Arabidopsis thaliana: one gene and its partners. The protein of the gene in region 2 interacts with the protein of the main gene of each other region in a pairwise test. Each region holds a gene or a part of one and is shown on either strand. Other genes may lie near its edges.

Region 1 (7,293 bases), on a different chromosome or scaffold from region 2:
AGAAATAGAAGAAAAGAAAAACTCAACCTTTAAAACAGCTCACACAACAGAGAAGCAGAAACCTAAAAGCTTCTTCAATGAAACACAACAACAACAAATGAAAAATAAAAACAGACTGAGAAAGAGAGTGAGTGTAGCAAAGAAAAGGGTTTTATGTGTAGCAAAGAAAAGGGTTTTATACCGTCGACGCCTTTGGATAGCGAAGTTGGAGAAAGCGAGAGACTCCTTTTATTGGGAAAGAGATAGGAAAGTGAAGAAGAAGATACCCAAGAGACAAGAGATTTCTCTATTCTCTCTCTCTTTATCTTCTCTCGCATCGCCGCCCTTCATAGATTAAACACACTCACCTACCAAAGTTGCATACCAGCCGTTAGATTACTCATAAGTGTATTCCACCGTCGGATTTAACTACTTTTTAAAGAGTCAACCTCAATAAGAATCTTGTTCCCAAAGATAAGGGTTTGTGTTGAGTTTAAGACCGGTTTAATCTGAAAACTCCGTCAAACCAAAACCAAACCGATTTATCATAAAAAAATTCATATCATCTACTTCCATTGGCTAGAGACAGATTGTAACGGTGTCGTCGTCGCCAAACGATTTGCCTCTTCCTAAAGGTAGGTTCTTCATTTCTCTCAGTGCCCCTTTGCGTGTTTCAGCTTCTTCTTTATGATCTAATTCATGTCTATGTTTCGTTTGATTCTTTGTTCAATTCTGAATTGAGAAAATGGCGATTCGAGATCTGTCTCTTCGGTTTTTTAGTTCGACTGATTTGGGAATGTGAAGAGATCAGATTGATTTGTTGACAGAGTCTTGGGGGTTTTCAATCTTATTCCTCTAGATTTTCGAAATTCGATTCCTTTACATCAGATTTCGCTTAATTCTCTGTCCTAGTGAGTTTTACGATCTTTAGTCTTCTGGTTTGTCAAATTCTATGTCTTTTCATGTTCTTCTGAGTTTTAATGGTTGATCTTCAATTACTTGGCCACAATCTCTAGAGTTTGAGACTCTTGACTTGTCTTGCATATATTCCTCTGTAGATTGGTTTTATGTTTGGTTTCAATTCCTTGTTGAACTATTCTGATACGGAAGTTTTCCTTTCTAAGGTTTGGTGTTTCCTTTTTCTGATAAATAGTGATGAAGATCGATTATGATGATCATGTAAGAATATAATCTAGCTTTGGTGTTTGTATTGGTTTACCTGAGGGAAGAAAAGTCTTTCTCTTTGGGACTTTAAACTTTGATTACTTAACTCCAACATTATCATAGTTGGGTTCTGTAGTTCATTTCACTTATAGCAGTAATAACTCATTGATTGATGCAATCAATCAATCCTGTGATGGAAATGGAATCATGGAAATTGAGGGATTCAGGGAGGATTGATTGATTAGAATTTCATATTTATGAGAGAATAAGAGAACTGATGTGTGTTTCTTTTCCTACTTCTTAAAGTTGTGCTCTTTCCTATTTCTATAAGCTCTTGTGGATAACAACAGTTGATTAACGTTCTTATGCTTGTTTAGGGTACAACAAGAATGGAAGAAGAGTATGAGAGTCGTCGATTGAGGAGATGGGAAGAGTTGGACACTGACATCTTAGTAAGAATTTTCCAGAAGTTTAGCGTCTTTGAGTTGACTTCGGGATTAGCTCATGTTTGTAGAGGATGGAGAGCTGCTTGTTGCGATCCGATTCTTTGGAAGACGGTGGATTTGTCAAACATGAGATCTAGTTTCATCAAGATCCCATTAGAGCCTTATGTCTATGTGGAACGCCGATCTGATGAGGCCCTAACCCGCATCCTGAAACTCTCCATGAACCTTAGCGGAGGAAGCACGAGGACCTTGATTTTTCATTTCAACTTGTTCTTGAGTGATGATCAGCTTACTTACACCGCAGAAAGGTATGTCCTTTTCGTTCTTCCACTTATTTGTCTTCCAAATTGTTTCATCATGGCCGTAAACTATGGTTTTTTAGTCAAAAGTTGGTTCAGTTTTTGGTTTGGTTAAGTTCATGTACCCACTTTCAGTCAAAATTGCTGAATTACAATTAAGCTGAATCTCGCAAATGCTAAAAGTTGAAAAATTTGTTGTACTGAATATTTTGCAGGTGTCCAGGGTTGAGACGGGTCGTCCTACCGGCTTGGAACAGAATAAAGAAGACTGGTATATGCAAAGCGATAAGAATCTGGAAAGATCTAGAGTCACTAACAATGCCAAGCATCGCAAACCCGCCTTATCTCTTAACAGAAATTGCCAAGAACTGCAAGAATTTTAAAGAGCTGAAGATCATGGGTCCATTCGAGGTCTTCTTTGCAAACACGCTCATCACTTGCCTCCCAAACATCAAAACACTCAGCATCAGATGCTCGGCGATAAAGCGGGAAGCACTGATGAAAATCCTTGACGGATTACCAAGCCTTGAAGTGCTCAACATATCACACTCTCACCTAGTGGAGTACAGCGGTTGGCAGCCTCAGCAGAAGGTGATTGTTAGAGAGCTCGATAAGACGATAATGGAGAAAACAGCAAGGCTAAAGAAATTCTTGACTTGCATGGATCACAAGACGTGTGTGATGTGTCAGAGGACTGAAAACGATGAAGGGATTGTGAGATGGTACAAGTATGAGGAAGGAGACTGGAAGGTTGATGAAGTGAGTTCTCTTCATCTTTGATGTTTCTGCTGTGATCATTCTCTGTGAAGGACTTAACTTGTTATTGTTCTCATCTTTGACTGTTGAATTGTTTATTTCTTTGTGTTGTTTGTTTTGATTTGAATCGTATTATGTGTATATATCTGTAGGCTATGCCAATGAATGTCTGTAGTGATCAACTTTTGATCACCACCAACCTTGCACACCAAATAGGAAAATAAAACAATATTGTTACAATTATTTGTCTTGATATTAGCATTATTAGTCACATTTGTTTTGCAAATCATCTACCTTTTTTTTTTGGTCTATATCTTATTCTTCTTAGTTCTTACCTACCAGTCTTCTCCGGCGGCATTAACGACACCGTTTTATCGAGCTCAGCCACCACTAGTTAGGTAACGATATATATTCTTAAAAACGTTTAGAAAATTTCTATGTATGTTTCACACGAACAAAAAGAAAATATTTTTCAGACATCAACGGTCATTATGGACGACGACTGTTAAACAAAATCGTTTAAAATTCTTGTTGCGTAATTTGACCATTTTATTTTATTTTATACCAAAAATTGAAGATATTATATATATGTTTTAATTCGATCGCAAATAAATCTGAAAATTAAAACACAAAACGTTACTCTTCTCTCTCATTCTCTTTCGCTTCTCGATAGCTTCTCAAATCATGGTTCAGCAAATATGGGAGACGTTGAAGGAAACAATCACAGCTTACACTGGACTTTCTCCAGCTGCGTTTTTCACCGTACTTGCTCTCGCTTTCGCCGTTTACCAAGTCGTCTCCGGTTTCTTCGTTTCTCCTGAAGTTCACCGACCTCGTTCTTTGGAGGTTCAGCCTCAATCGGAGCCTCTTCCACCGCCGGTTCAGCTCGGAGAAATCACTGAGGAGGAGCTTAAGCTTTATGATGGCTCCGATTCTAAAAAGCCCCTTCTTATGGCGATCAAGGGCCAGATCTATGATGTTTCTCAGAGCAGGTATTTCTTGTGAAATCTTTACTTGTTCATTAAATTATGATTGAATCCAAATGATCACTAGTTAAATTACCAGTAATAAACGATTCAACCCAATAGTTTCGAGATTTGGGGTTTAGGTTAGTTAATCATGGTTGACTGTTTGATTTATAATCCGAAGTTTCCAATTACTATCTATCTTATGATTCTAGTATATCTACTGATGCTCGAACTCTAGTTTAAGTGATTCTTTATTGTAAAACTGAACACTTTTAGTAAATCTTTTTGATGAATATTCTCTCCTTTTTGTTCATAATCTTATGATGCTCTTTTTATTGCTTTTTGCATCTTAGTGTTTGTTTTTTCACTTCTTTTCTTGGAACAATACCATTAGAAGCACTGATACAATTGTATTGTATTCAAGTTATCGGAAAGATCTCTACTTTTTCTTATACTAGAAAAACCTGTATTTAGATTACATCTTGGATTAGTAGAGATTGATAACGTACAAACTCGTCAAAGGTTTGGCTTCTAATATTGCTATTGTGGCGAAAGAGATCGTTCACTGATTAATTATCCACATTTGCTTGCTATTTGTGTTCCATGACGTTTGTAAATTAAGTTTTGGCGAACATTGTTGGTATGTAACCATGCTGCAGTTGTCTAGATCCCTGACTTGTCAACTAGACAGTTCTTTTACATTCCAGTTACCGAAAACTTCGTTGTGGTAATTAGGTTTTGTGCTAGATGAAATAATCACTTCAGTGATCATACCGTTTTGCTTGTTCATAGTGGCGACAGACACAGACACACTCATCAACGCATATACATGTCGATGTATATGTATGCATAACTTTTAGTTTTTTTCTTGTACATAGTTCATCAGCTGTACTACATATCTAGATGAATCATATTCATATGTGCCAAGCTGTAGTTTTTCATTCTTCAAACTCTACTTAACTCTTACTGGTCGCTAATTTGCATGACCATCTGTTCTTTTTATGCAGGATGTTTTATGGACCAGGTGGGCCATATGCTCTGTTTGCAGGGAAAGATGCAAGCCGAGCTCTGGCAAAGATGTCATTTGAGGACCAAGACTTGACTGGAGACATCTCAGGTCTCGGTGCATTTGAGCTAGAGGCGTTACAAGACTGGGAGTACAAGTTCATGAGCAAGTATGTCAAAGTCGGAACCATTCAAAAGAAGGATGGAGAAGGCAAAGAAAGTTCAGAACCTTCCGAAGCAAAGACTGCCTCTGCGGAAGGTCTTTCTACAAACACTGGAGAAGAAGCTTCAGCAATTACCCATGATGAAACTTCTAGAAGCACAGGCGAGAAAATCGCGGAAACCACGGAGAAGAAAGATGTTGCAACTGATGATGATGATGCTGCAAAGGAGTAAAGTCAATGTAATGAGAGGCACAGTTTCTCTTGAGAAATTAGTGAGATTTTTCAGGGTTTAAGTATGAGTCGTATATAGCTCAATAAAAATGGTGACCTTGTGTGTACTTTTTGGATCTTGTATAATGACATCTAATTCTGGTTATGGAAGCTTCAAAATACATTATTTCTACAGTATTAATCGATAAACAGTTCTATAATTCAGGGTTTGTTCACTTGTTGTTTATGCTTAGTTCATATTTGACATCCTGCTATGTGCCTGGTAATTGAAGATGGTTCAATTCCTAAAATCGAAGCACCAACTTACATTTGATGGTAGGTCTGTTGCCGAACCGAAGTGAAGAATTTGCAATAATTTTGGTTTCGGTTTGGAACCTTCAAACCGACCGGTTTCGAATTATTATTGAACCAAATTTTCAAAATTCAAATATCTTGTCAAATCATTTTCTTCCCTCTTTCTGTCTCTGTCTCTCTCTCTCGCTCGATCTCGAAGGTGAAGCTATGGGAGTGAAGTATCTTTGGGATGTCTTGGAGCCTTGTAAGAAGACTTTCCCACTCGATCATCTTCAGTGAGTTGTTTCTTCGTCTCAATTTCTCTTTAATTTTTCTGGGTGTTTAAAAAGACCAAGTCTTTACGAGATCTTCGTAATCGCTGTAGAAACAAAAGGGTATGCGTGGATCTTTCGTGTTGGATGGTGGAATTGCATAAAGTGAACAAATCTTATTGCGCCACTAAAGAAAAAGTTTATCTTCGAGGATTTTTTCATCGTCTCCGAGCCCTAATTGCCCTAAACTGCTCCATCATTTTAGTCTCAGGTAATTTAATTCTACCCTACTGTTGAAAATTGCCATCAGAAGAGCCAATTAGGGTTTATGTAGTGTTGTATTGTTGTCATTGTGAATTGATTTGAGTAATAGAAGCATGAGTGGTCAAATCAGTTCTTATTTATTGATGCTTTGCTCTAAAGTTTAGTTTTTTCAATGCTATTGAGCATACTTGACTTGTTGGAATGTGGCATGTAATTGTAGATGGTGCAATTCCTGGAATCAAAGTACCAACTTACAAGCGTCGGTTAAAAGCAAGATTCGAGGTACAATGATGTCAAATGTGGCACTTGTGGTTTCATCCTTGCATATGATGGCTAGTTTTTGGATTGTTTTTTTCGATTTCGTGCTATATTGGTTCAGCCAGATCGCTGACGATGGTGTTGAGCCTAGCAAAGAGACTTCACTCAAAAGAAATATGGGGTCTGAGTTCTCGTGCATCATAAAAGAGGCGAAAGTTATTGCATCAACACTAGGGATACTTTGTTTAGACGGGTAGGGCTTCAAGACAGTTAGCTTAGATTGACAATGAGACTTTGGTTTGAGTGTTTAACTTTGCTTATGAGACTTTGGTTTGAATGTTTAACTTTGCTTATGAGAAACTGATTCTGTTCTGTATTTTCCATCAAATGCAGGATTGAGGAGGCTGAGGCGCAATGCGCTCTGCTAAACTCGGAATCCTTATGTGTAAGACGCATTTTTCAGCTTTAATCAGTTTCTTGTTCGTCATGCTGTTAACCCAATATTCAATGATCATCCATAGGACGCCTGTTTTAGCTTTGATTCGGATATCTTCCTTTTTGGTGCAAAGACTGTATACAGAGAAATATGCCTTGGTCAGTGGAAAGAGACTCTTTAGTGTGTTGGTTTCTTTTACCGTCTGATATGGTTAATAGTATTATAAGTCCTAATAAATTTGCCAATGAACTAGGTGAAGGAGGTTATGTTGTTTGCTACGAGATGGATGACATCAAGAAAAAGCTTGGGCTTGGACGGAACTCATTGGTAAATTAACAAACCTCTTTAAGTGATTAGCTTTATATACTTAACCCTGATCTTTCGTTTCTATAAAGCTGCACCACGTTATTATAAAATGATTAGATTGGTAGAAGCATGAATGCAATGCTTGCAAAAGGTGGCCTTTGATATTTTATAAACTCAGGTGAGATAGATACTATGTGTATGAATGGTTCTACTGCAACGTTGTAGCTTTAAGGGCTCAATTCCTTTGTTAGCATCAGTAGACAAGAAAACCAGCTACACATTGTTGAGTGTTGACTATTATTCCATGCGTCAAAGAACTTTAAAATCTTAGCTATGTTTCATCAAATGGTAAGGTCATGTATACAATGTTTTCTTGGGTGATGTTACAGATAGCTCTAGCGCTTTTGCTTGGCAGTGACTACTCTCAGGGAGTTCGTGGTCTTCGACAGGTGTGTAGATAACTCAAGCTTTT
Region 2 (8,988 bases):
ATATCGGCAAAGGAGGCTTTAAATATACTTCAAAAGAATATATTTTCTAGTGACACATATCATAGATATTTTGACAAAAGATTTTCTTTTGAAATGGAAAAGAGATCACATGAAATAAAATATCAAAAACAATATATGAACTAAATCCAAAGGAAGGCAGCAAGAGAACTAGAGAAGGTACGAGCAAAAAAGGGTATAGGACTGACTGGATATGATGGCTCCGAGAGCCACAAAGGCTAAGGACATCGAGCAAAGAAATGTGAAGCACAGCCCAGCATCTACAATGCAACGTCCATGGATAGAGGCAGCGACAACCAAGCTAGTCAAACTAGAGCCATATATATAGTCAATCTAAATATAGTTATTTTATAAAGATACAAATCCCTAAACTAAATAAATTTGTATGCAAATTCTATAATAATTTTCTAGAAACCTTTTTTTGTTATTTTCTATTTTAAACAGACGTATCTATCTTTATTTTTACTAAAAATAACATTCATTTACTAAAATATATGTGGTTACTAATCATCATCTAAATATAACCAACTTTGAAATCAATCTAGTCTCTACTATATAAACACCAACTAGCGCTTGTTCATAATCCCACAGAGCCAATTCCCGATACATTATCAATTATATAAATAACATAAACTGAACTCCTAAGCAGGGTTCTTTTTATAAATTTATTATTTATTTATTGTGGAAAAAGAACAATAATAATATGGGGATGTCTAAAAGTATCAAGGTTATCCTATCTCTTGCTCTTGTAGTGTTCTTGGCACTTGCAGGAACCAAGGTTGAGGCCTCCGTAAGATACATAACTTATCCTGCTATCGATCGTGGAGATCATGCTGTACATTGTGACAAAGCCCACCCTAACACCTGCAAGAAGAAACAAGCAAATCCTTACAGGAGAGGATGCGGAGTGCTCGAAGGTTGCCATCGTGAAACAGGTCCAAAGCCCACCTAACAGCATTAAATATACATTTGGTTGACATGTTTCTCATTGGAGTATTTGGTTATTTGTATACACTCTTTACATCCTCATATTCATCTGTTAATTTGGCTTTGTAATTGATTGTAATCACATCGTGTTATGGTCAATCATATATAAATATTTTAACGATATATCGAGCTATTTTTCAATTTCTTATAGACATTTGAGCGATTATCATACTTCTTGCCACAATAACAAGAACTATGGGAATATACAATAACTATTAATCCCTAGGATGGAACTTGGAAGAGGTTTCACTTTTTGATTTCACTTTCAACAAATGCGTGTGGCCACATAAACTTTTGAGCTTTGACCCAAATGTTTTATCTAAAGTGGGCTTGCCAAAAAGCTCTTGTTAAAAGACTTGATCACCTCTAGATTAATAGGGCTTGACTCGGACATTTGTGCCAATAGGAAACAAAAATGGATAACCAAAAAGAATACCAAAAGCTGTTAGATAGAATAGGAAAAAGTGTTAAGTGATCATCAGTACAACAAATGTCACATCTAATAAACAAGTAACAAAGTACTACACGGTTCATTTACAAATGAGCTTGTTTGCAATCTTCAAGGAAAAAGTAGTATGCAGCAAATTTCTTCCAAGCAGGAACATTTTGTTTGTTTTCGCGATTTGCAGTAGCGAACAGAATTGACCATGCACGTTTGTATTTTGTAAGATTGACGTTGAGATCACAGCCCACCGGGACTGGTGAGATTAAAGCATGTTAGAGTATGTTAGAGTTTTGTAAGGTAAGTACGACCGGATAATACACATATTGAATTGCTATTTGTCATTAATAAATGTCATCACGACAGTCGAAATAACATCATTTGTAGTAGACATGTATGTTGTCGTTTGTTACAATATTTTCTTACCAGATTAGTATTCATTATAGACGTCAATGCATAAAATTACAGATGTACGAACGTATATGTAGTACCATGTGCATGGTTATATCAATATTCGTTTTAGGTTTGTTAGAATGCAAATTAATCGTTGTAGAGCCATGTCCGCATTGCATTGAAAAATGTAAGTCTATAACACAGTTTTACATGACATGTTAATGACTAGGGTTTGCCAAAATATATAAATACTTGATTTGATTAGTTATATGTCCGAATCTGTTTTAAATTATCATACGCGCGCCAATTACAAATTGTTTATCACAATATACAAACTACAACACCATATTTCATTATAGTAAAACCAAAATTTAACTACGAATCTGAACGTAGCCCTGCTTTATGATAAATATTTCCCGAAAAAAAATCATTAGAATTCCTATAATGATAAAAAAAACGCTGGTTCTTATGGTAACACCATGTGAAAAGTGATGACTTTTTCATAGCAGTAGAAGTAGTCAACTACCTCAGATAAGTACTGTAATTAAATAAACTAATTGCCCAAAATGATACAACTTTGTCGCATTAAATTAAAAGTTAAACCTTCACTGGATGCATTACCAAAATGGTCATATAACAATACGTAATCCAACTCGCTGTAGCTATCAATCTCTTTATCACAACCAACCAATATTCAACAATGTTGTTTTATTTATTTTTCATATGGTTTATTTAATCACCTCGACTTTTTTGGCATCGATCACATCTACAAATAAATTGTTAGTTAGCACGACCGTTATTATTACTTTATGAAGAATTGTTAATCTGAAAAATATCCTTTTGATATCAGTTGGAAATATTTTTTTAAATAATTTATTATGTAGAGCTTGCGGCTGAGTCAAATAAAAATAAAATTGAAAACTAAAAGCGTGATTGACAAAATGACTTTAAAGGCTGATTTGTTTTTGAAAAAACCAAGTTCTTAAGAACACATTTGAACCAATCATCGAAATATATGGTGGAAATATATTTCTACCAAAGATTTGTTTTTTAACCAAATAATTGAACACAACGCTAACTGAATATTTTATAAAACTGATACAGATTTATTAAAAATTTTGCTAATAAACATTATAAAATTGCTTTTACCAATTATAGGATGTATTGTATCTCTTGGACTTTAATATCGTTGACGATCTTGACAAATAAAAAGCTGGCGTTTCATTAAATTGGTATTTACAATGAGAAAAATGTGTGGGATCCAAAACTGGATATAGGATTCGCTTTACTGTATCTGGATCCGAAACTCTAAAATATGATGTTTCTTATGATCTGGATTTTTTCAAACTATAAATGATTTCTGAATTTCCGTGTATGTCAACCAATATTTAAAAACAGATTATATTTCTTAAATATTTTTCAGATTTTTTGAAAAATATTCTGTAAATTACAAATGCAAATAAATTATTTAAGACCGTTAAGGATCAAATATGTTTTTAGTTTATTCAAATCTCTCGTTCTCTCATATCGCTATTTTGTACTTAGTTTAGATAAAAGTATTAAGTTTGGCTTCTTAGAATTTGATGTTTCTTTTTTTCGTTTTTGCTATCGACTTTTGTTTTTTTTTTTTTTACTATTTTGTTGTTATTTATCTATTCCTTAGATTTTGGTTTTGTTTCTGATACTTATATTTTCTGTAATTTATGTCGCAACTTCAAAAATAATATAAATACTTTACATTGATATTAAAAAAAAAAAATTGAGCTCTAATGACCTTTGGAGCTCATGCTCATCTATGGAAAAAAAAATCCATGCAGGAAGAACCAAGAGGAAACGGTATACAAAATAATATTAAATAAATAATTATTTGTCAATAAAATAAATAAAAACTCACCAAAGTACATAACAGTTCACACAGCATGTTTTTAGAAAAGATCATATACTATTGGTTTCAAAGTCTTTGACTTTGAATGTTTGAACTTTTCAAGGTTCGCCTACTCGCCGGTCGTCTCCTTTAACCTTCGTCTCTGTGTTTATATAAGAACATATACGTATTTGATGATTACAAAAAGACAATTCTTTATCCTTCTTTAGATTTCTGTGGAAAGTTCACTATTTATTAGGAGAGACAATTTCAAAAAGGAAAGCTTTTTGCTTGGAACTGTTCTGTGAGTTCTAATGGCGGATCAAGTTAAAGAAAAGACATTGGAGGAAACTTCTACATGGGCCGTCGCGGTGGTTTGCTTCGTCTTGCTTCTGATTTCGATCGTTATTGAAAAACTTATTCATAAAATTGGATCCGTAAGCCACTTTCTTAACCTTGTTCTCCTCCTTCAAGATTCTCTGTTTCTGTATCTGTTTAGTTCTTCCCAAAAATCAAACTTGATTGTTCTCACGAACTTACATCAGTTTATGTTTGAAACTGCCAAAACCCAAACGGGTTTTAGTCTTTTTTTTTTTTTTTTTTTTTTGTATGTACTTGTGTCGGTTTCATAGTATCCTCTGTTTCTAATACTAAACAAAACTCTGTTTTTTTTTGTGTTTCTTCTTACAGTGGTTTAAAAAGAAGAACAAAAAAGCTCTATATGAAGCACTTGAAAAAGTGAAAGCAGGTAAATTTATTGTTAATTTAAATCATTATAAAAAGAAACAAGTTTTCCCTCTCAAAGATTCTTTTAATCACCTTTAGTTTTGGTTAATTATATGTGAATTTACAGAGCTTATGCTGATGGGATTCATATCACTACTTCTAACAATTGGACAAGGATATATCTCAAATATTTGCATCCCTAAGAACATCGCAGCATCGATGCACCCTTGTAGTGCATCCGAAGAAGCAAGAAAGTATGGTAAGAAAGATGTCCCAAAGGAAGATGAAGAAGAAAACTTGCGTCGAAAGCTTCTACAGTTAGTTGATTCTCTTATTCCTCGAAGGAGTTTGGCTACTAAAGGTTATGATAAGTGTGCAGAGAAGGTAAATTCTCATTCTATAGAAATATTTTCTTTGTAAGAGCCACTAGTGTGACATTTACTAATGTTTGTTACCAGGGAAAAGTCGCTTTTGTATCGGCTTATGGCATGCATCAGCTGCATATATTCATCTTTGTTCTTGCGGTTTGTCATGTGATCTACTGCATTGTTACTTATGCTTTGGGAAAGACCAAAGTAAGTTCTTTTATATCCATCCACATTCTGATCACACCGGTTTTGATGTTCCTTTTTTCGCTGAAGAGAAGATCTTTTTTGTTTTGTTTCTGTTATTGCAGATGAGAAGGTGGAAGAAGTGGGAAGAGGAGACTAAGACTATCGAATATCAGTATTCACACGGTATAATTTACAAACTTGGAATGAAAAATTGATTAAATGTAAAACTTGAGTGTGAAGTTTCAACAAGGAATGATTCGGATAATGTAGATCCCGAGAGGTTTAGGTTTGCGCGGGATACATCTTTCGGGCGTAGACATCTGAGTTTCTGGAGCAAATCAACTATTACGCTGTGGATTGTATGTTTCTTCAGGCAGTTCTTTAGATCTGTAACCAAAGTTGATTACTTAACACTGAGACATGGTTTCATCATGGTATAAGTCAATCTTTTGATCTTTAACTTTTCTGTTGTATAATAACTTATCTCTCAAGGCAAAGATCTTACAGCATTGCACGAATGCTTCTTCTTTTTCTTCTGTTTCAGGCCCATTTGGCTCCTGGGAGCGACGCAAGGTTCGATTTCCGAAAGTATATTCAGAGATCACTAGAGGAAGACTTCAAAACCATTGTCGAGATCAAGTATGGAACTAATTAAGATTACAAACTCCACTTCACTAACCACTACTTAATCTGATGTTTTAACTGCTTATATCTTCAGCCCTGTGATCTGGTTCATAGCTGTGCTATTCCTCCTGACAAACACAAACGGTACACTCGTTTTCAAAACGTCGCTGCATCGATACCTCTTTAAAAGCCTTCAACAATCCAAAACTAATAGATTACTCTGCTTTTCTAATGAACAGGATTGAATTCTTACCTCTGGCTACCGTTCATTCCCTTCATCGTAAGCAACAACCAAAACCTTTAGACTAAACCTATTTTGTTTCGGTTTCAACTCCGTAACAAGAATGAATGTATAAACAAACTGCAGGTGATTCTTATTGTTGGAACAAAACTTCAAGTGATAATAACAAAACTAGGACTTAGAATCCAAGAGAAAGGCGACGTAGTGAAAGGCACACCGCTAGTTCAACCCGGTGATCATTTCTTCTGGTTCGGTCGTCCACGTTTCATTCTCTTCCTCATTCACTTAGTCCTCTTCACGGTATACATTCATCTTTTACTTTCTACTCTCTCTCCTTACAAAAATGCCTGAAATTTAACCATTTCTTTTTCGCCATCATCAGAACGCGTTTCAACTAGCTTTCTTTGTCTGGAGTACGGTAAGCAAGCAATCCTGCATTCTCCATGAACTTGAAACGTAATAATACCTATACAATCATCATTTTCATCAAAATCTTTTGTTATCTCTTCAGTATGAATTCGGTCTAAAGAACTGTTTCCATGAAAGCAGAGTTGACGTGATCATCAGAATCTCAATCGGGTAAGTGGAAAACATAAGCTTCAAAACCCTTCATAGAAACCATCCCTTAACATCTAACAAAGTCACAACCTTTTGGAAAACATAAGCTTCAAACATAGAACTGAGAAACCATTCCTTAAAATCTAACAAAGTCACGACCTTTTGGATCTTGCAGACTTTTAGTTCAGATTCTTTGCAGCTACGTTACTCTTCCTCTATATGCTCTTGTTACTCAAGTAAGATCCACGCACACACAAAAACACATAAAGATTGAAACTTTCAATTTCAAAAACTGACATTTTTGAATTCAATTTTGGTGAAGATGGGTTCAAAGATGAAACCAACAGTGTTCAACGAGAGAGTAGCAACAGCGTTAAAGAGTTGGCATCACACAGCTAAGAAAAATATCAAACATGGAAGAACTTCAGAATCAACAACACCTTTCTCTAGTAGACCAACAACACCAACTCATGGTTCTTCTCCGATTCATCTCCTTCGTAATGCTCCTCACAAACGAAGCAGAAGCGTTGACGAAAGCTTTGCGAATTCGTTTTCTCCGAGAAACTCTGATTTCGATTCGTGGGATCCTGAGTCTCAACATGAAACTGCTGAGACTTCGAATTCGAATCATCGTTCTAGGTTTGGAGAAGAAGAATCGGAGAAAAAGTTTGTTTCTTCATCAGTGGAACTTCCTCCTGGACCTGGACAAATACGAACACAGCATGAGATTAGTACTATAAGCTTAAGGGATTTTTCGTTTAAGCGATGATTTAATGTTTTCTTAATTCATTATTTAGTGATTTGTTAATATGCTAAATGAAACCAGTTCTTGTAAATTTTCTATACTATGTTTGTTAAAACCAGCCCTTGAAGCTTTAATTTCTCAATGTAAAAGTCTGATGATTTTGGATTTTAAGACTATGGAGATTCATGGGTAGTTGGTGAAGAGTGTTCTTGTCTTTTGGGTTTGAGAGTTTGTGGAAGATGTGTTAGCAGATTTAGAAAGCATGCAAGGGGTTTGATAAAATGCCTGAGTGAGACTTGGTTTTCCTGAAACACAGTGGTTTCTGGGTGTAGATAGATTGGATTGGCGAGGATTGTATTTTGATATGGTTTGTAGAATCTGAAGACTCGTTTTATCGCCACTATTTTTTTGAGTATTGACAAGGTGATTAGGGATCTCTTGTGAATGCCTTCAAGGATTTGGTTGAAATGCAATTTGCTAGATAGCTCTTTAGTGGAATGTTATATTCATGGGGTTCGATGAATGACGGGGTATGTGCAAAATGAGAATTTTAAAAAAGCAATTCGTGAATTTATGCCGGACAAAGGGTTGGAAACCAAGATCATTGGTGCTTTGCATGCTTGTGCTTACGCAGGTGATCAGGACCTAGTGGCCAGGCCAGGACCGTTGTATCTTGGAATACTAGATGGCAGATACGTTGTATTGGGGTCAAAAAAGGTCAGTGGTACAATTCTCATGTTTGAAAATGAATGGTAGCGGTGTTGCCTATTTTTCATTGGTTGTGGGCTCAATTTACCTGAAAATAATAGGTCAACTGTTGCATGGTTGATTGGGTAAACATAAGCATTTCACTTTTCTAGAATCTGTATTATAAAACAAGGTTTTAAGTTGATCGTGAATAAAGTAATGCAGAATCTTGGAAAATGGGTGCTTTGTAGTCAACATTGGTTAGAGGTGCTTCCATTTTCTATTCAGCACTTGACTTTGTTTTATTTGCTTACTTTTCTCTTTTTTACAGTATACATGTTCTCTTCCTACAATAATCTGAGGAGATTGTTCTTGGACATTGGGGATGACGAGGTTTGCTTGCTTTCTCTTCTCTACCTTGCTCTTAAGTTTTAGCTATGCAGCTATAACACCAACAAGTCCTTTGTCAATTGGACAAACTCTCAGCTCCCCTAATGGAATTTTCGAACTGGGGTTTTTCAGTCCTAATAACTCTCGGAATTTGTATGTTGGAATCTGGTTCAAGGGTATCATTCCCCGGACGGTTGTGTGGGTGGCCAATAGAGAAAATTCTGTTACAGACGCCACTGCGGATCTAGCTATCAGTAGCAATGGAAGTCTTCTCTTATTTGATGGCAAACATAGCACTGTCTGGTCCACCGGAGAAACTTTTGCATCTAACGGGTCTAGTGCAGAGCTTTCAGACAGCGGAAATCTTTTGGTCATAGACAAAGTTTCGGGAATAACTCTATGGCAAAGCTTTGAGCATCTTGGTGATACTATGCTACCTTACTCCTCCCTGATGTATAACCCCGGCACTGGTGAGAAGCGGGTATTGTCTTCTTGGAAAAGTTACACTGATCCATTGCCTGGTGAGTTTGTGGGTTATATTACAACACAAGTGCCACCACAGGGGTTTATTATGAGAGGCTCGAAGCCTTATTGGAGAAGCGGTCCTTGGGCTAAAACAAGGTTTACTGGCGTACCACTAACGGATGAATCATACACACATCCATTTAGCGTTCAGCAAGATGCAAACGGGTCAGTATACTTCTCTCATTTACAAAGAAACTTCAAACGTTCATTGTTAGTATTAACATCAGAGGGGTC
Region 3 (7,811 bases), about 18 Mb from region 2:
TCTTGTTATTCTCTGATATTAGTAGTATTTATTCGTCTTCATGAAAATACGATAAAATAAAGTAATTAAAGTGACGGATTCTCGGGAGCGCGTGGGTTTTAGAGGAGCGTTGGTAACACGTCCCAATAGAATAAAGAGAATAAGATTTGTCTTCTTTGATGATCAGATGTATAAAAGTATTTATAGAGTACTCAATTGTTTAGGTATATCGTATTTGTACGTTGCATGACGACCTTTTGGACCAACCAAATTTTTTAGAATTAGTCTTATGCATCCAAAAAAAAAAATTGTAATTTAAATACTACTATCGACGTTGAAATGAACCTTTAATCATGAGAATAAAGAGGTAAATCACTTTTGAATGATGAAATGCAGAAATAGTATTTGTTTTGAGTGAAGCTAAAATTAATAGAAGATGTGTGTATATTTTACAAGAAAAATATGCCAAATTGGTCTAATCAAAAGCAAGGAAGTGGTGGTGGCCAATGTCACTCCACTCCACTAATTTCATTAAGAATAAGTTGAAAATCTTATTTCTATATTTAATTTAATCAGCAAAAAAATTAGTATCATTATCCAAACCTTTCATTATTGCTTGCCACAACTGCTAATTTTTTTTTTTTGTTGTCTGAATTTTATTAAAAACCCAAGGTAGAATACCATTTGAAATACAAACGCCGGCAGACCAACTAAATGTCTCCAAAAACTAAGCCCAAAAGAGGAAAACTAAGCCTCAACGGAACGGAGAAACTATTTAGACCAACGAAGAAAACAAAAGACAAATATCTAAAAAAGATCAACCGTTAAGGGAAAACGAAGATCTAAGCACTAAAATTGCGCAAAAGAACCAGGAACCCTCACAAAGCTTCCCCAAAGAAACGGAAAACGTCGGAAACACCAATAAGATCGGAAAGAACTCACATCGAAGTCAAACCACTAGCAATCCGACAGGGAGGAAAGCAAGAAGCCACCAGAGCGAGAGACACAACTACTAATCAAATAAGCAATTATTATGACATTATATATTGAATTTCTGATATTTATGTTTGTCTTATAACTATGTTAATATCTCACACGTACTGACAGAACAAGCAGCCTTACTTTAGAAAGTTTAGAAGAAGACAGAAACAGGATAATCCCAAACATTGTGTTGGGTTGCTTGAATTATTAGCCGACAAGTTGAGTTCTAACCACTTCATTCATAAATAAAGAAGTCAGCTGATGAAGATTATACAACAATCTTTGTCATAAACTACGTAAAGATAATGAAGTAGCTAGTCCTGTATATATTATCTTATGTTTCCTGGTACTAGTTCTGGTGCGACTGCTAAAATCTAAATTGTCGTCTTTAGATTAACATTTGTTTTTTTTTTCTCTCTATGAAAGTACTAAATTTTCATAGGATAAGCCATTCAAAATATCAATTACAGTGACTATTGAGTATTGACTAATATTATTTGAACTCACAACTCACCTACATGTATTAATGTTTGCATTATTTTAGTGATTGCTAAAACACATAAGTGTCACATGACATATATATCATTGTTTAGGCTAAACATATTATATATATGGTCTATATTATAGATATCGATCCAAGTCTATTAGCCAATCCAACACTAAAACAATCCTCTTGTAAATGAGTAGCTCATGACGACATTATTCTGTTTCATTTTGGAAGCATTAGCATCATTTCCACACACACGTGTTGACCTAAAAAGGCCTATATTTGTTCTATTTATAAAGCCTTAAATTAAAGACTCAAGCAATATCACATGGATCTAATATATAATCATATGTTGCATAGAAAAAAAGAACAAAAAAGAAATAGAGAGAGGTGGTTGAATGATTTAGGCTTTACATCAAACCCACTGTTTCAATAATTTTGTTAGGTGTGTGTGTGTATGTGTGAATACAGCTAGAGAGTTTCACGAAGAAGCTGGTTGGTCAAAACTTTTGACTCGAAAGGAATTGCTGACAAATCGATCAATCAATTTGCTTCAGAGAGAAAAAAAAAACACATAAACACAATTGACATCTCTCTATCTATACGGTCCGATACTAGACTTGGCGAACCAAACTAAAGATACAGTAGGACACTGTGACTGTCTAGGACCACCAGAGATATTCAGTGAAGTTTCTATAGTCATCATAAGTCAATCTTGCTGACTACATCATACTAATAGGAACTATAGTCGTAAGGAACATATATACCACATTAAGCTTGTTTCTTTTGATTAACTCCTCAAGTTGTTTTCAAAATACTCGACGAACTAGACTGAATCAGCAATAAGACCAAACATGTAAAATAAACGTTGCAGAAGTTAATGCTCATTAGTTTTCTCTTTTGTAAGAACATACAAACACACAGGTGACAAGTTTTGGCCAAGAATTACAAAATAATATGATACCTTCATAGTCATACCTCAGAATTAATGTCCTAGTCGAGAAGCAGAAGTTTGTTTTTATAGATCTTTCTTTTCATTAGAGAAATGGGTATCGGCCCAATAACATAGGCCAACCCATTTGCATTTATTTTCTCATATCCAGTAAGGATATACTTTCAAATTTTTGTATAAATGGGATTTTGATTTTTCTTTAATATGTTGAACGAATTTAGTAAACTATTCACATTATTTTATGTTCAGAACTATACTGTAAAATAACTAACGGTCAACAATAATTGAGAGAATTTGGAAGTTTTCGTTAGACTCACATCAATAATGTGACTCAAAGCTAATAATTGCAATTTCCGACAAATTTGTGGCATGGGCGTTTATGCTGTCTTCTACTCTTCTTGTATGACAACGCACATACCCGAGCTTCGTAAATTTTATTTCTATTTTTTTCAAGTATATTTTGTTTTTAAAATGCGATTTTAGAAAGAATTTGTGTGATCAGAATTCACGGTGTAATAATAGTTTGTATGCATACTGTTGTTTGATGTGTCATAATCCAAATTTAGATAATATGTTTATGTATAATGTTAGAAATAAAAATGTAGTAGAAATTTACGTATATTTTCACTGATAATAGAAATTTTCAAATATCCTTAAACTGTCAATATCCAATTTCTTTATGTTTAAAATATTTCAACAGCTAATTTTCAACCGCTATTTATTTTATTTAAATTTATCTTGTCATTATATTTCGTTATTGATAAATATCTGAAAAAGTGGGTGACAAAAAAATTACCGATTCAAATTATTGTAATAAAATTGACAAATCAAAAGATTGAAATAGAAAACAAAAATGGACTACATTTCTCAAAATGGCAAATAATTTTTATTCATATTTATCAACCTCGAAATGACCTACATATATAGAGACACAAAGATCACAACAAAATCAACCATTCCTTTCCTTATCTTCTTCCTCTTTTGCTTTTCTAATCTCTCAATGGCTACCTTAAAACACAAACCTGTAAATTTGGTATTTTACGTTTATAATTTGATTATTATATTCTCCTCCCATAGTTCCACGGCGGAGCTCCGCAGGCTACTGCAGCCATCAAAAACCGATGGTACAGTGAGCTTTCTCGTTATCGGAGACTGGGGAAGAAGAGGCTCCTATAATCAGTCCCAAGTAGCTCTTCAGGTTACTTCTTATTTTCATTTACAAGTTATTTACTATATTTCTCGCCTGTACGCATATATATAAATATATAATGCAAATTCAATAGTGTATAATTAATACGTATTACGTAAACATATATATGCGTATGCCTTCAAGAGCATACGTGATATGAGGATCAAATTTACTGGTCTTCATATTAATGCCGGCCCTTATGTTTTTATATTATTCTTTTTTTTTCTTTTTTTTATTATTATTATTCAATTTCAATATATATTACTAATTCTTGAACACCATGTTATAAGATACCATAAAAAGAAAGAAAGTCATGTTAGAGGAACTTGAAAGATTCGGTCTGTGTTAAGAAAACAGCTTTAGTGTACGAAGATATTCTACATATGATTTTTGTTTGTACTGTTGTTTTGCAGATGAACTCAATGTGGTAAATTTTATGCTAGTTTGATGTTTTCTTTTATACTGTTGTTTTTAGTTATTTTATGCTAAATTATTTCACACGAAATTTAAACAGATGGGAGAAATCGGAGAGAAATTAGATATCGATTTTGTGATTTCTACTGGAGATAATTTTTACGACAATGGTTTAACCAGCTTGCACGATCCTCTATTTCAAGATTCTTTTACCAACATTTATACCGCTCCGAGCTTGCAGAAACCTTGGTATAGTGGTAAATGTGTGGTTCAATGTGTACATTCGTCGTTGGATCTTAATTATTAAACGATATGTGGTTCAATGTGTTAATTACATTTTCTTTAACCTAAAGTTTTAGGAAATCATGATTATAGAGGTGACGTCAGGGCACAACTTAGCCCTATGCTCAGAGCTCTGGACAACAGATGGGTTTGCATGAGATCTTTCATTGTAAATGCTGGTAATTCCTCCTATATAATATTTCTTCAAAAGTTAGAAATATTTTATTAATCCTCCAATTATTTTTTTATTTTTGTTAATTTCGTTAACTGAACAGAGATCGTCGATTTGTTCTTCGTCGACACAACTCCGTTCGTCGATAAATACTTTATTCAACCAAATAAGCATGTTTATGACTGGAGCGGTGTATTACCTAGGCAAACATATCTGAATAATCTCTTAAAGGTAACAATTTTTTAAGTAAATCTTCCTTTCTTTCTTTTTTCGTCGAAATAGAATTAATATTAACTTAGGAACGTCATTATATACGTGTTTTGGGCAAAACATTCCTTTTTCTTTTGTTATGATTGGATTTTTTTATAAAGTTATGATTGGATGTTAAACGCAGCTTTTATTTTGTCTATTTTCAAATGGAATCGCGTTTTAATTAGGTATGTAATGCGATATGATTAGAGAACAATCTGCCAATGCAACTTTTTTTCTTTTTACGAGCGAGTGACTAACGAAAGCTATAATGTAATAATATAGGAACTCGACGTGGCGTTGAGAGAGTCAGTCGCAAAGTGGAAAATAGTGATTGGTCACCATACGATCAAAAGCGCAGGCCACCACGGGAACACCATTGAGTTGGAGAAACACCTTTTACCTATTCTCCAAGTAACAAAACCATTCCATTCATATAATAAAGTTTATGCACCAATAGAAAAAATCTATCTAATTAAATCTGTTTTTTTTGTTCTCGATTTACTAGGCAAATGAAGTGGATCTCTACGTAAACGGACATGATCATTGCTTAGAGCACATAAGCAGCGTGGACAGGTAGAATAAATTTATTTATTTGTTCGTTAATTATTTTCTTATTAATCAATTATTGTAACGTAAGGGTCCACGTACGGGAGGATATAAAATGTCACCATTTTTGGTTGCATATAGTAACATACAATTTATGACAAGTGGAGGTGGATCCAAGGCCTGGAAAGGAGGTGACGTGAACTACGTTGAACCAGAAGAGATGAGGTTTTACTACGACGGACAAGGTTTCATGTCGGTTCACGTTTCAGAAGCTGAACTGCGTGTAGTCTTTTATGATGTTTTTGGACACGTTCTGCATCATTGGAAGAAGACTTACAAGGAGGCGCTTTATTTCGCTTCTTGATTCCAATTTAATCGGACGTAATTGTTTATGATCGATGTACTATGAAATTATCAATATCGTACTTCGTCGAATTTTCGAATCACATTATGATATGACAAGAACATATCAGCAGCATCAGAAAAAAAAGTCAATGAAATCTTTATTGCGTAAAAGTACAGTTTCAAACAAGATATTATTGAAAATTTGTAAGATGTGAGATTAACTAGAAATACTGCATGCATATACTGTATATACATATCGAATCTAAGCATATTAAAATGTAAATATCATCCTCTCTTACGCTTCCATATTAATTAAGTTAATTAATTTTCGTTATTCTTATCCAATTTGATTAACAAGTTTTCCCGAAGCATGCGTGCATACAGTACTCTTGTGTAGTTTGTAGGGACACAAAATGGGTCCGATTCTCATCTATAAAGATAGATAATGATTTTGTTACATGTCTTTTGTCCTGTGCTCAGATTCTCTTCAATCATGTAATATATATAGATAAGTTATAGTGAATTATGGATTATATGATAAGATAAATGATATACAACTCTATGTTGTGGATGAGATTCTGTCACATAATTTCACAAGCCCCGGATCTCTCATATTTGATCGCAAGAACACTTTTGCTCATACCAAAATTATCTCCCAAAAGAAATATAATAGTCATTCTATTAAGGCTTATCTTATTTTACTTTTGGTGAGACTTAATAGAGTGGACAAAGGAATGAAGACATGGGCCACTGCCATGAACCATGGGACCGAACACACAGCTGAACTTGTATCACACAACAGAGATAAAGGCTTCATATCTTAGCTTTCGAATCCCAAAAAATATTCCAAGAAGAAAAAAAAAAAGTAACTTTCTTGAGAATCTTGAGACACTTTGGAGAAAAACAAAGGTATATATATATATGCATGTGTAAGAAGATATTATGATTCAGTCGAAACGAGGCAGAGATAGAATTTGAATAGAAAGGAAAGGATATAGATGAATGATTTTAGAGAAGAGAGTAGAAAACGGGTAACTTTTCCTTGTTTTGACTCTCCTAAAAATAATTTCTCAAGTGGCAAAAACAAAACGACATTTCATCGAATTCACCGCTCTTTTAACAGTTTGTAAACTGCACCTCAGATTTCATCTCCCAAAAACTATTCTCTCTCTTTGCTCTATCTTCTCTTCTTCAGCTACTAATTGCTCTGTTTACCGTTACTGCCATCGCATTCCCCTTCACCAAATCCGTTACGAGCTTCTTCTTTCGCCTTCAAATCTAATTTTCCTTCTGTTCCGTTGCTGTTGTCAGCCAGTTCTTGATTTGAACCGGGTGGGAGGAACACACCAGTGCCTGGGATGGGCATTCGAGGTTGTGGTGCTGTCTGGTGTCGTGGATGAGGTGGCAGCAGTGGCCAGACAGGCGGCCCGGTTGGTACACCACCTGGGAACGGCATTGGAGAGGCAAGTGGAGGAGAAGGAGGGATGAAAATCGGTTGAACAGCTCCGTTTGGTGGGCGGTGAGACGGAGTGGGCAAGACACCAGTGGACGGGATAACAACAGGGTAGTGTTTAGGTGGGCCGGTTGGGTGACGGATGTGCTGATTTGGCGATCTGCTCGGCGGTGGTCCCCAGTTAGAGTTTCTCGGTTTAGATTTGATGAAGCTAATGAGTATCCGTTGCTTTCGGGTTGCGTGAATTGCATACTTAGCAAGATTTGCGGATTTGCCTTCCACCAAAAGAACCGATCTGTTCAAAGTTCAAAGTACCAAATATAATTGATGATAAAAGGATTGAAAGATCTTGATTTTACAGAATAAGTGATATGGATCGGTTACCCGGGAGTGAGAGACAGCTTGAGAGAGCCTTTGTAGTCGCCGGGATTTTCAGAGACAATGACTCTTCCAAATGTATAATCACATTCAGACAAGGACAAGACACTGATGGGTCGTCCAAACCAGGGAACAAACATATGAGGCTGCGAGTGATCTCCCTATGGTTCACAATAACAGAGAAGACACAAGAAAACTTCTACTTTGTTAAGAAAACAGAAACAGATAGTTTTAGGGGTTGCAAAGAATTTAGCAATCAGTTTAACCTCGCTGAAGAAATCAATGATGCATGCGTCTGGTTTCACAGGTATGATTTGCTTTGAGACCAAACGTTCAATGATGTCTGAAAGAGCTGATGGGATTGGCTCTATTCTTCGATCT

Evidence for each region. Proteins that work in one complex are often made in the same cells at the same time.
Region 1: the proteins of MLO6 (region 2) and MAPR3 interact in a protein complementation assay, tested with the Arabidopsis thaliana proteins (one large-scale study listed by BioGRID).
Region 3: the proteins of MLO6 (region 2) and PAP3 interact in a protein complementation assay, tested with the Arabidopsis thaliana proteins (one large-scale study listed by BioGRID).

What each region holds. Positions count from the first base shown.
Region 1 is NC_003074.8:18,126,341-18,133,633, forward strand, and holds MAPR3 (membrane-associated progesterone binding protein 3), read left to right. Parts: upstream 1-3,111; 5' UTR 3,112-3,328; coding exon 3,329-3,636; intron 3,637-4,619; coding exon 4,620-5,013; 3' UTR 5,014-5,252; downstream 5,253-7,293. Other genes in the region: AT3G48880 (RNI-like superfamily protein), read left to right, coding at 1,533-1,897, 2,104-2,668; AT3G48900 (single-stranded DNA endonuclease family protein), read left to right, coding at 5,514-5,581, 5,671-5,828, 6,042-6,103, 6,205-6,332, 6,473-6,524, 6,601-6,673, 6,769-6,842, 7,211-7,270.
Region 2 is NC_003070.9:22,707,063-22,716,050, reverse strand, and holds MLO6 (Seven transmembrane MLO family protein), read left to right. Parts: upstream 1-3,761; 5' UTR 3,762-4,018; coding exon 4,019-4,141; intron 4,142-4,287; exon of another isoform or gene 4,288-4,394; coding exon 4,395-4,452; intron 4,453-4,557; coding exon 4,558-4,814; intron 4,815-4,888; coding exon 4,889-5,005; intron 5,006-5,106; coding exon 5,107-5,167; intron 5,168-5,254; coding exon 5,255-5,418; intron 5,419-5,528; coding exon 5,529-5,623; intron 5,624-5,702; coding exon 5,703-5,752; intron 5,753-5,847; coding exon 5,848-5,888; intron 5,889-5,928; exon of another isoform or gene 5,929-5,975; coding exon 5,976-6,149; exon of another isoform or gene 6,150-6,231; coding exon 6,232-6,267; coding exon of another isoform or gene 6,268-6,315; exon of another isoform or gene 6,316-6,360; coding exon 6,361-6,428; coding exon of another isoform or gene 6,429-6,432; exon of another isoform or gene 6,433-6,582; coding exon 6,583-6,643; coding exon of another isoform or gene 6,644-6,703; exon of another isoform or gene 6,704-6,729; coding exon 6,730-7,176; 3' UTR 7,177-7,583; downstream 7,584-8,988. Other genes in the region: RALFL8 (ralf-like 8), read left to right, coding at 722-970; AT1G61565 (uncharacterized protein), read right to left, coding at 823-882, 967-976; AT1G61562 (uncharacterized protein), read right to left, coding at 6,240-6,315, 6,872-7,038; AT1G61550 (S-locus lectin protein kinase family protein), read left to right, coding at 8,225-8,988.
Region 3 is NC_003070.9:5,055,371-5,063,181, forward strand, and holds PAP3 (purple acid phosphatase 3), read left to right. Parts: upstream 1-3,212; 5' UTR 3,213-3,309; coding exon 3,310-3,597; exon of another isoform or gene 3,598-4,015; intron 4,016-4,102; coding exon 4,103-4,259; intron 4,260-4,355; coding exon 4,356-4,463; intron 4,464-4,559; coding exon 4,560-4,687; intron 4,688-4,990; coding exon 4,991-5,119; intron 5,120-5,213; coding exon 5,214-5,281; coding exon of another isoform or gene 5,282-5,285; exon of another isoform or gene 5,286-5,395; coding exon 5,396-5,618; 3' UTR 5,619-5,770; downstream 5,771-7,811. Other genes in the region: AT1G14710 (hydroxyproline-rich glycoprotein family protein), read right to left, coding at 6,798-7,347, 7,437-7,591, 7,697-7,809.